3 linked regions of the Rattus norvegicus genome follow. The protein of the gene in region 1 purifies or fractionates together with the protein of each later gene. This does not show direct contact. Links are inferred from orthologs where the notes say so. Each region holds a gene or a part of one and is shown in the gene's direction. Other genes may lie near its edges.

Region 1 (2,819 bases):
CTCAAGGCTCAGGCCATCTATCTGGGCAACAAACTTCTTAAGACTAATAGGCTTAGACATGTGGAATCTCAAGGTTACAGGTAATTACATTAGAAAAATTCCTTTCCCATTTCAGTGAGGAAGTGTACGCATGTGCATTACCTACCTTGTTTAAAATCTCCCAGCTCTTGAGGTGCTAGAACAAGACAAGTACAGTTTCATGTGTTGCTAACGTTATCTGGGCAGTTGTGTCAGGAGAAAGTGACAGTTGTTTGGAATCCTTACACCATGTCATTCCCACTGGCTCATTTCAGAAAGCCTTAGATTACCTCTGGTGTTCAAAACCTGGTGCTGACAGCATGGGGCAGCCTTAGTCCTCAGGAGCTCTGTTCTTGTGGGCGGTGGCCTTCTGTAGATACGGCAGCAGCACAGCCGGCTGAGGATGTGAGGGAAGTGTGTCTGCCTGTGAGGCCCACACAGGCTGCAGGAACAGTCGCTTAGCCCCTCACATTGAGAGATTCAGTTTATTGTGGGTCTTACAAAGATAGAACAGTTTAGGGTTGTGAGGAAACAGATCATGATGATGAACAGTTAGCAAGAGGGGTAACAAACAGGTCTGTTGATTAAGTGGTAGTCTCTACTTCCCAAAATATGTTGACTATATTGCCCTATTGCTGTTTCAGTAATACATCTTTTTTCCTATGGAACACTTTGTAAAACATTAGAGTTCACAGTATTCTGGAAGGTGGGCAGCATTGTTCCATTCATACATGGAGAGATGGTTTTCAGTATTCTGGAAGGTGGGCAGCATTGTTCCATTCATACATGGAGAGATGGTTTTCAGTATTCTGGAAGGTGGGCAGCATTGTTCCCATTCATACATGGAGACATGGTTTTGTTCAAGCTGTTGGCCCTGGAGAGCTAGGACTTATTTCAGGTCCTCCCATTATTATTTTTGTTTCAACTCAGAGATGCACCCACATTTTACTCAATGCAAAGTCAGTGCTTCTAGTCATGGCTGGGAAATCGGGGTCCTAAATTGCTTATTAATATATATTAATATATAATTTTATTTCTTTAAAGTAAGAGCAGAGGGACTTGGCTTAGGCACATAGACCTATATTAATCTTTACCAACAGTTATGAGGTGCGAGGCAAATGCCAAACGTATGAGGTAAGTTCTGACTGCAGGGGATACAGAACAACTCCCAGGACACCTCACAGGGGTCAGTTTGTCTTTGCTAGATGACCCCTCGTTATTTTCATTCCTTCCCCCTGTTCGTTTCCTGCTACAACATGAGCTTAGCCAGAAGTGGATTCTGACACACCACAGAGCTTTTAATTTGTGATATTTTGCCATTTCCACTCTTGTTTACCTAGAAACAGATTATCAGCACGAGGGAAAGGCTATGGCTCTTAAGTGTGAACAAGGTCACACCAGATGTGTCCTTGCTAGGCAGTCATGAGAGTTACTTTAGGGCAAAATGGAGGCACATCTGCCTGTATCCTGAATCAGAGAGGGAATCTGAAAAAATGCTCTTAGGTTGAAACTCCCATTTCCTTACATATATACAGGCCTAGGACTTGTAATAAATTGTGTACTCTTCTGTTGACAGTTGGTGGAGACAGTTAAAAGTGCTTGAGAACTTTTTAGTATCATAATAAGTTGAGATTTCTCTCTTTTGTTCTTTAGTTTGCCGAAGAAGCTTCAGTGCATGAAAACATCTCTTTGCAAGGGCCTTCTCCGAGGCTTCAGTGTCAGCACTTCAAAGCACCCTCCCAGACAAAGAAGATCAAAGTATAAAGTTTTATCAAGACAAAGGAAACCACAGAGAAAGTTACAGTCAACTCTTATAAAGGAAACCCAGCAGGTCCCTGAAGGGACTCTGAAAACCACTAGGGACAGCAGTGCTAAGAAGAGATGCTCTGGTGGGACAGTTCAGAGGTCAGATGTCTGTCTGAATGGAGAGCAGGTCTTGAGCAAACTTGCAAAGCCTGACCTAAAAGCTAAGAAGATGGGGGTCCATGGGAATCTGAGAGGGGGCGGTGGAAGTGAAACCGGCCTGCGGACGAAGAGACAGGTGCACATGCACAGTGCGCCAGGCACCGCTCAAGAGGCAGATGACATTGATGATATTTTTGCTTTGATGGGAGTTTAGATGTACTTAGGTGAAACTTCTGAGCAGTTAACAAGCTGGTCCAGTGTTCTGCTGTTTTAAGGGGTATTGCTAAGATCTGGAAACACTGCTTAGGCTGAGAGCTGCGTCTGTGCAGTATTCCAGTGTGTGCATTCCAATTCAATAAACATTGACAGCAGCGTTGTGTAAGTTAATCAGATGGTGAGTATTTGGCTTTGACTGTGCAAGGTGGTAAATATGATGAATGGCCTGCCCCTGGGGAACGCACCCTTCATGACTGAAACAAGTAGGTTTCTCAATATCAGATGACTTTATGATCTACTATGGCATTAAAATCTGGAATTATTTCACAAAATCTTATGTATCTGAAGGTAAACAGAACAAGGTTGGCATAGCAGAGAAACATCATGTTTTTAAGGTTTTTACATTTTGTGCATGGGTACGTACTTATGTGTGGATATCAGACAGTAACATACATGAATATGGGTATCGGAGGGTAACTTCTGAGAGTTGGTTCTGTTCTTTTACCTCTGGGTCCAAGGGGTGGTGTCCTAGTTAGTGTTTTGCTGCTGTGAACAGACACCATGACCAAGGCAAGTCTTATAAAGGACAACATTTAATTGGGGCTGGCTTACAGGTTCAGAGGTTCAGTCCATTATCATCAAGGTAGAAGCATGGCAGCATCCAGGCAGGCATGGTGCAG
Region 2 (4,190 bases), on another chromosome or scaffold:
AGATCCTCTACACAATGGCCATTCTATGGACCAATCTAGATTTTGCGATCCTGTATAGAGACACCTCTCTACTACTATAAAGGTTAGAACTGGACACTCTGATGAAAAAAAGCAAGAGTTTGTTTTGTATGGCCTTGCTCTAGTTGCAGAAGTTATTTGGTTGTTGTTTTGCTCTGGGGAAATAAAAAGTATTGGAAACAATCATTTTTGAAAATTAATCAAAAAATAGGTGCAGCTGTGCTCGGCTGTAATCCCAGAACCAAGGATACTGAGCCAAGAAGATTGTGAATTCAAGTCTACCCTGGACTACTAATAATACTGCCTCTGCCTCCCCCTCCTCCTCCTCCTCCTCCTCCTCCTCCTCCTCCTCCTCCTCCTCTTCCTCCCCCTCCTCCTCCCCCTCCCCCTCCCCCTCCCCCTCCTCCTCCTCCTCCACATGATCATCATCATGGTCGTCGTCGTCGTTGTCATCATCATCTTTCAGAAATTTGTAAGAAACTAGAGATCGTTACAGTAGTGTGATCAGAGAGAGAAGACTCCCTATGGTTTGTGATCAGTACAGAAACTGAAAATGCTTCACCTTTCAGCACTTTGGTATTATCCCAATGGACAAGCTCATGATCAGTGGACTTTTCTTCTTTGAGAGACCAGCAGTTCAGAAGTCCTATTGAGTTGCACAAGGTAGGAGCTGCTTATTAGTAATGCGCAAAGGGTTCGCATGCTGGAACGAAGACTGAATGAAGAGGGGTAATGGACTGGCCCTCTATGTCAAGTAGGTTGAAAATCATGCCACCATCTTAGGTTGGTGAATAATTGATCTGTCAATATTGAAGAGTTTGTTTTTTAAGAGTCCATTTTAAAGCAGAAACACCAAATGATATTTTTATATTTCTCATGAAAAATTGTAAAACATGTTTTTATTTTTGCCCCTCCCTGTCAGTCCTCTCGCTAAGGGAATGCTGGCGATAAGCCATCATCTTTGAGATCACTCTGCCATCTTGTGGTTGTAGATGTTGGCTGTAAGGAATTGTCAAAGCTCAAAGAGTTTAGATAATCTTTAGCCACAGACCAAGTACTTCAAAAAACCCTTTGCGGCCATTTTCAAAGAATGGAATGTACTGTGGAAACAGGAAAGAAAAACAACTTTCAATGTCTCTTCATTTTTTGTTCAGTTTATCTGCTTTTGAGACTATGTATTTCAGATCAGCATACTAACTTTGGCGGGCTCTAGGGGGATAGGAAAGTCTCTGCTGACTGAGAAGGGAAAACTACAAATCCCAGGATGCCCAAGGAACAACCTAAACTCCCAGCATGCCTGAGGGGCAACACAGCGGCTGTGCAGACTTGCGCGCGGGTTCTCTTGGGATGTCAGCATGGCGGCGTTCGCAGATTTGGATCTAAGAGCGGGCTCAGACCTGAAGGCTCTGCGCGGACTCGTGGAGACCGCTGCTCACCGTGAGTCTTCTGGCTTCGCGTTGTCCTCCCTACCATCCAGCTTTGTTTGGTAGTTTTTTTCAGGCGCTATTCGGGTCTCGCGTGGGATCTGCCTGACGTCTCTAGAGGCAGATTATAGCTGCAGTATCACCCGGATCCCCTGCGTGAGAAACTCAGAGGCTCTTGACAAAACTGTTGTTACTTGTGTTTGCCCAGTCATTCGTGCAGAGGGAGAGAACAGAGGCCCAGGGGGTGGAGAGATTAGCATAGGACCTACGAGCTGATAAATGATAGAAACGGACTGCACTCCTAAGCCGGCTCTTTTTGAGTCACACGACGTCTGTCAAATACAGAAAGCTGGGTCATGGGCAGGAACTGCTGTGGAAGCTTAGAGAATGGAAAGGGTGTTACCTTATTTTTCTAGAGCATTATAAGTTCCTTGAGGATGAGCATTGATCATGGGAGCTCTCACCTGGCATAGGGCTTGCCAAATAATAGATTCTCAAAACCCTTGTAGAGGAAGGAAAGCAGGGAGTTATTGGGCTGCCTGATAAGAGGAACGACCGTTTTTTGCTTTTTGTTACTTGATTTTTGTTTTTGTCATTACTATGCATTATCTTTAAATATCAATACCCTATCATCCTGTCGGTATTTGGACAACTTAATAGATAAGAGTCGTGATTTAAATCCATTGGGGAGAGGGCACGTATCACAAACAGTACACTAACTGTTGTGATGGTAAGGCAGGCCTGTAGTGTTCCTTGTCTCAGTGTAGAGAGAGTAGTACCTCAAAAGAGGTGTGAGGGAGTCATCCCTCCTTTGCTCCCTAGGAAAGAGGAAATAGAAAGGGTATCGCAGAAGAAGTGAATGAATGATGTCAAAGGTGACAGAAAGACATATAAATCTGAGTTTTTAACATTGTGTGAACATAAACCACAGCCTAAATATGTTCCTGGCTTCTAAATGTCACAGCCAAATATGTGTACTCTTCTAAAACGCTGGGGCTGTTTCACATCATTTTCATGACACTTGAAATTCCTGTCTGCTGTTACCATCATGTGACAGATGAAGAACCTGAAACTCCACCTTAAGTAACAATAAACAGTAGGGCTCAGATCTGCCTTCTGCCCCGCCCCCTTATTGTCTAGGTCTTAGAATTGCGTCCAGGATTTTGCGTATGCTAAGCAAGCATTTTAACACTTAGCTACATCCCTAGCCTCATCCCATACTCTTGAATCTCATATCAGTATGATCACTGTGAACAAGAAAGAATATTTTTTAAATAACCTATTTTTCTATTTTTCAGTGGGATACTCAGTTGTTGCCATCAATCACATTGTTGACTTTAAGGAAAAGAAACGGGTAAAGGAGACTTTCTTGGGTTAATTGGTTACTAAATACAAGTATTTCTAAATATTCATGTCTGGAGTTGGGAATATGAACTAGAAACAAGTATAAGTACTAGTTACTTTTCTTGTTGCTATGACCACATACCTGCAAAAGCAACTTAAGGAGGGGTTTATTTTGCTTATACTCTGAAGGTACAGCCCATCGTGGCAGTAGGGGCATGAGATGGCTGGTCACAGTTTCTCCTCAGTCAGGAAGCAGAAAGAGATGAATGCTGGGGTTCTGCTCACATTGTCCCTTTTAGTTCGCTCGCTCAGGCCCCCAACCCATGATGTAGCACAGCTCCCATTCAGGGTGGAAACACCATTATAGAAATATACAGAGATATGTTTCCATGTTCATTTCTAATTCAGTCTAATTGGCAGTCAGGGATCAATCATCTAAGCGTGTTTCTTTTTTATTAAGGGAAGGTCTTGCATGTCTCTGGTCTGGAACTCACTTTGTTGCCAGGGATGACCTCCTGCCTCTACTACCCCAGTGCTGAGATTACAGGCCTATAGGGAAGGCCTTGTGCACTCACCTTGTGCTTTTTGGAAGGCAGTGTACCAGCTGTATTCCTTAAAACCCCCTGCATTTACTTACTTTAGCAGTTGAACAATCGAACATATATTCATACAAATGACTTTTGTTTTGTTTATGAGAAACTCTAATGCAGCCTAAGGAATCCTGACTTTGAGCTCATATTAACTATGTTACCTTCAAAGATGTTTAAAAGTACATTGCTCTTAAATGAACTGAAAGCATAGTATATCTTCTTGTTTACTTTGTTGCCATGGTCTCATGAACTCATTGATTTCTCTCTTTGATAGACTGTCAGTACGTATATTTCTTTTTAAGCAAACAACTGTATATATGTCATTTCTGTCTTCAAGATTGCTTTTTGTTTTGAGGGTTGTTTTGTTTGTCCTAACAGGGTTTCTGGGTATAGCCCTGGCTATCCTGGAACTTACTCTCGAGACCAGACTTACCTTGAACTCAGAGATCCTCCTGTCTCTGTGAGTGCTGGAATTAAAAGCATGTAGGCATGCACCACCACAGTCTGGCCTTTACTCATGTCCTCTGGTGTTCTTAGCATCTGCCCTTTAGTTTCTTGCCTTAAAAAAGGAGAATAGGCTGGAGAGATGGTTCAGTGGTTAAGAGCACTGACTGCGGGGTTGGGGATTTAGCTCAGTGGTAGAGCGCTTGCCTAGGAAGCGCAAGGCCCTGGGTTCGATCCCCAGCTCCGGAAAAAAAAAAAAAAAGAGCACTGACTGCTCTACCAGCGGTCCTGAGTTCAATTCCCAGAAACCACATGGTGGCTCACAACCATCTATAATGGGGCCTGAAGCCCTCTTCTGGGGTGTCTGAAG
Region 3 (3,452 bases), on another chromosome or scaffold:
CCTCTGAATTCAAATACTACCTGTCTGTGTTCAACTGGGGGCTCTGAGGTCAGAGGTCAGCTTTACCTTAGGGTCATGATTTGTACTCCCTGTCAAATGTATTTATTTCAGTGACAATAAACCATAGAGACCACTAAAGCAATGTGTTGGCTTGCTGATACAGGATGGGCTTGGCTGTGAGGATCTGGGTGGTGAAGAGGAGAGCTGCCAACCCCATGGGATGGGACCAGGAGCTATACCCCTGATCTGGTTTGCTGAGAGATAGAGTTCTCTCATCATTTGACTATACAGCGGGGCATTGTATATTTATTTATCTTATATTTGCCAACTACCCTCTAAATATCACATCCTATGGTAAGTAAGGAGGGCATAGGCAGGGACAGCTAATCTCTACACAGGGTTTGGGGAAGACCAGGTAGGCCTGCATGTCAGGTGGTCCTGGAGGAGCAGGAATGGACGTTCAGAGCCAAGGCTGCACTGCCTTGTGTCTACATAATACCAGTAGCCAGAGGAGGAGCCCAAGATGTAAGAAATTTTAGGATCTTGAGAGGAGGAAAATCAGGGTACATTGATGAGAAAACAGGGAGAAACAGTACCGCGCTCCACCCGGTGTATGCTGCCCTCTTGTGGTCTGAGGGAGTGCCTTAGCTCCTTCAACTGCCTGTAGAGTTGCTTCAGCCCAACCTGTAGAGTTGCTGGCATCCAAAATGCAGCGTATCCAAACGGATCTGAAACTGGCAGTCATCCTAAACTATTCTACCCGAATAGTCACCCGCGCGTCCCCAAAACTTCATACAAGTTTCTATCAAGTTTCTACCACCTCTTCTCAATTCTTGCTGTTTCGGTGGTTAACACCTCATTGGACAAATATCGGAGGGCCTATTTTTACCCTGGATACTGGACTAGGCTCTGTGCGCACGCCCCCGTGGCCGAAGCGCTATGATGATGTTGAGTACAGCCCCTTCCCAGGGTCACCAGTATCTGTTGCCCCCACTACCGGATCCGCCATGCTTATAAACCAATCCTCCGTGGCCAATGAGTTATGCACAAGCTATGGCTTAGACCTTACTGAAAACCGCCGGGGTTGATCAGTGTCCCAGGATGAGAACAAAGCTCAGAACTCCGTAACTAAGGGTCTTGCCTGCTTGTACCCACCACGGACGTCGCCTTCGCTGCTGTGCCATCCATCCTTTAAAGGCACAAATCTGCATTCTTCAGGACTCCTCCGATAGCTGTTGCTCTCTCAGGTGGGCCTTCTGCAGGTGCCGGTGTGTACCGCGGACCACTGCGCTGACGCTCGAGGCCGCCCAGGTGACAGCATCAGCTCCTCTGAGTCGAACAGCAACCCGGGTTTCCCTCAGGTCCCGCCCCCTGCGTGCGCGGCCCCGCGGCTCCGCGCGCTCTCGGTCTGCACGCCATCTTGGCTACCCGGTGAGGGTTGAGCGTCTTCTGGCAACGGTGGTAAGAGCCAAATCCCAGGGAGTGGGGACTCAGAGTTAGGGAAAGGGGGATACCTGCTGCCTGGGACAGCGGCCCACGATCGGGGAGTCCGCCAACCGCTCACGAGTGGCCCGAGCAGCTCTCCGGGGAGTCCTCACCCGCGAGTTCCCGAGTGGCCCGGTTCAAGCTAGCCTACTCAGTTAATCTGGGAGTGAGGTCTTCTCTGCCCCCCACACACCGTAGGTGAGACCGATCCTTTCTTTGGGGAGTACTTTGTGAGGGTTCATGGCTGTGCCCCAGGGTCCTTGAAGCCCAGTGAGGAGAACCTGCCTGTTCTTAGAGAGTTGTGGGCCTGGGGTCTGGGACCTAGCCCCGGAGAGCTTGAGATGATGAAGCACAACCCTACCCCAGAGAGCCTAGTTTTTGGGAATTTGTTTTTGTCAATGTTAGAGACTCGTGGATGTATTTAGAAAGGGGTAGATAATTCTCGGCCCCAGCCTTGAAGTGCTGGGGTGAGGGTGTAAAAGCACTCTCCGTGGTGAGGAACAGGACCACATTCTGGAGGGAGTGATGGAGGATGGTCCATGTGATCATGTTCCTGCCACTCATCTGACTCTTTCCCGCAGTGTATATCCAGAGAGTCACCAAAGGCTCGAAAGCAGAATGGAGCACTACCGGAGGGCTGGCTCTGTAGAGCTCCCAGCCTCATCACCAATGCCCCAGCTACCTCCCGACACGCTGGAAATGCGGGTCCGAGATGGGAGCAAAATCCGAAACCTACTAGGGCTGGCACTGGCTCGTTTGGAAGGAGGAAGCACAAGGCACGTGGTGTTCTCAGGCTCCGGCCGGGCCGCTGGAAAGGCCGTCAGCTGTGCAGAGATTGTCAAACGGCGGGTTCCGGGCCTACACCAGCTCACCAAGCTTCGCTTCCTGCAAACTGAGGACAGCTGGGTCCCAACTTCACCGGACACGGGCCTGGACCCCCTCACAGTCCGACGCCATGTGCCTGCAGTGTGGGTACTGCTTAGTCGGGACCCCTTGGACCCCAGTGAATGTGGCTACCAACCCCCAGGTGCACCTCCTGGCCTGGGCTCCATACCTAGTTCCAGCTGTGGTCCCAGACCCCGAAGGAGGGCTCGGGACACCCGGTCCTGACGATCTGCTGGACCTGACTGTACTCTAGACCTGAGTATCTGTGCCTTCTCTAAGAAGTGCTTGTGATTGCTCACCATGCCAGCAGAGTCCACAGAAGAACTTCCCCTCCTCTCTGGAATGAGGGGTGGAACTGTTAAAAGCACTGGTGTGAGCGCAAGGCCCTGGGTTCGGTCCCCAGCTCCGAAAAAAAGAACCAAAAAAAAAAAAAAAAAAAAAAAAGCACTGGTGTGGGTCCGGTCAGTGCTGAGTTAAAGACTGCGTGAGGAGAGCTTACTCTGCCTCTATAGTATGTCTGACTTGCCTTTTCTGACTAGGGAAGGGAAATAAAGGTTGTGCCGCTTTGTTTGGCCTGCGTGTGAGTGGGGCTTGGCTTTATCCCAGGAGCTCCTAGGCTGGAAGCAGGAAGGATACAGAGAGACTGGCAGTGGATGACGGATCTGGTCTCGATGAAAGTTCTAGCAGTAGTAACCTGGATGGCTTCTTGCCGCCTGCTTTAAGCTGGGTTGGGACTCAGCCAGTTGTCCCATCTGTGGCATGCGTATGTTTTAGTGTAGTGGGATCATGAACTCAGCCTTGGCGGTTCAGGGTTTTGATCCTGGTTCTCCTACTCCCAAGTTACTGCTCTGTGGTTTTGGATAAAAGTTCCTTCTCTGGGTCTTAGCGCTCTCATCCAAAAAGTGGGGGGGTGAGGTGCTTACCTCGTTAGAGCTGTGAAGCTTAGAACGAGGTGCACACATCTGCCATTCAGCCTCCACCTGAGCACCCGGTGCTACACAAAAGGAAGCTCAAGCTTACACACGCGCTGTTTCCCTGAGAGCAGACCTCATTCCCACATGTTTCTTCAGATGGCATTCTTG

The links.
Region 2: the proteins of Nepro (region 1) and Rpp30 purify together in Homo sapiens (affinity purification with mass spectrometry; 3 studies listed by BioGRID and IntAct, counting the BioPlex papers as one, with this or other methods). This does not show direct contact. The link is inferred for Rattus norvegicus from reciprocal best matches to the Homo sapiens genes RMP64 and RPP30.
Region 3: the proteins of Nepro (region 1) and Rpp25l purify together in Homo sapiens (affinity purification with mass spectrometry; 3 studies listed by BioGRID and IntAct, with this or other methods). This does not show direct contact. The link is inferred for Rattus norvegicus from reciprocal best matches to the Homo sapiens genes RMP64 and RPP25L.

Annotation. Positions count from the first base shown.
Region 1 is NC_086029.1:69,463,754-69,466,572, reverse strand, and holds the end of Nepro (nucleolus and neural progenitor protein), read left to right. Parts: coding exon 1-80; intron 81-1,671; coding exon 1,672-2,137; 3' UTR 2,138-2,310; downstream 2,311-2,819. UniProt on the Homo sapiens protein: May play a role in cortex development as part of the Notch signaling pathway. Downstream of Notch may repress the expression of proneural genes and inhibit neuronal differentiation thereby maintaining neural progenitors.
Region 2 is NC_086019.1:243,197,348-243,201,537, forward strand, and holds the start of Rpp30 (ribonuclease P protein subunit p30), read left to right. Parts: upstream 1-1,365; 5' UTR 1,366-1,373; coding exon 1,374-1,455; intron 1,456-2,740; coding exon 2,741-2,796; intron 2,797-4,190. UniProt on the Homo sapiens protein: Component of ribonuclease P, a ribonucleoprotein complex that generates mature tRNA molecules by cleaving their 5'-ends. Also a component of the MRP ribonuclease complex, which cleaves pre-rRNA sequences.
Region 3 is NC_086023.1:61,673,783-61,677,234, reverse strand, and holds Rpp25l (ribonuclease P protein subunit p25-like protein), read left to right. Parts: upstream 1-1,413; 5' UTR 1,414-1,461; exon of another isoform or gene 1,462-1,683; intron 1,684-2,066; 5' UTR 2,067-2,103; coding exon 2,104-2,595; 3' UTR 2,596-2,814; downstream 2,815-3,452. UniProt on the Homo sapiens protein: May be a component of ribonuclease P or MRP.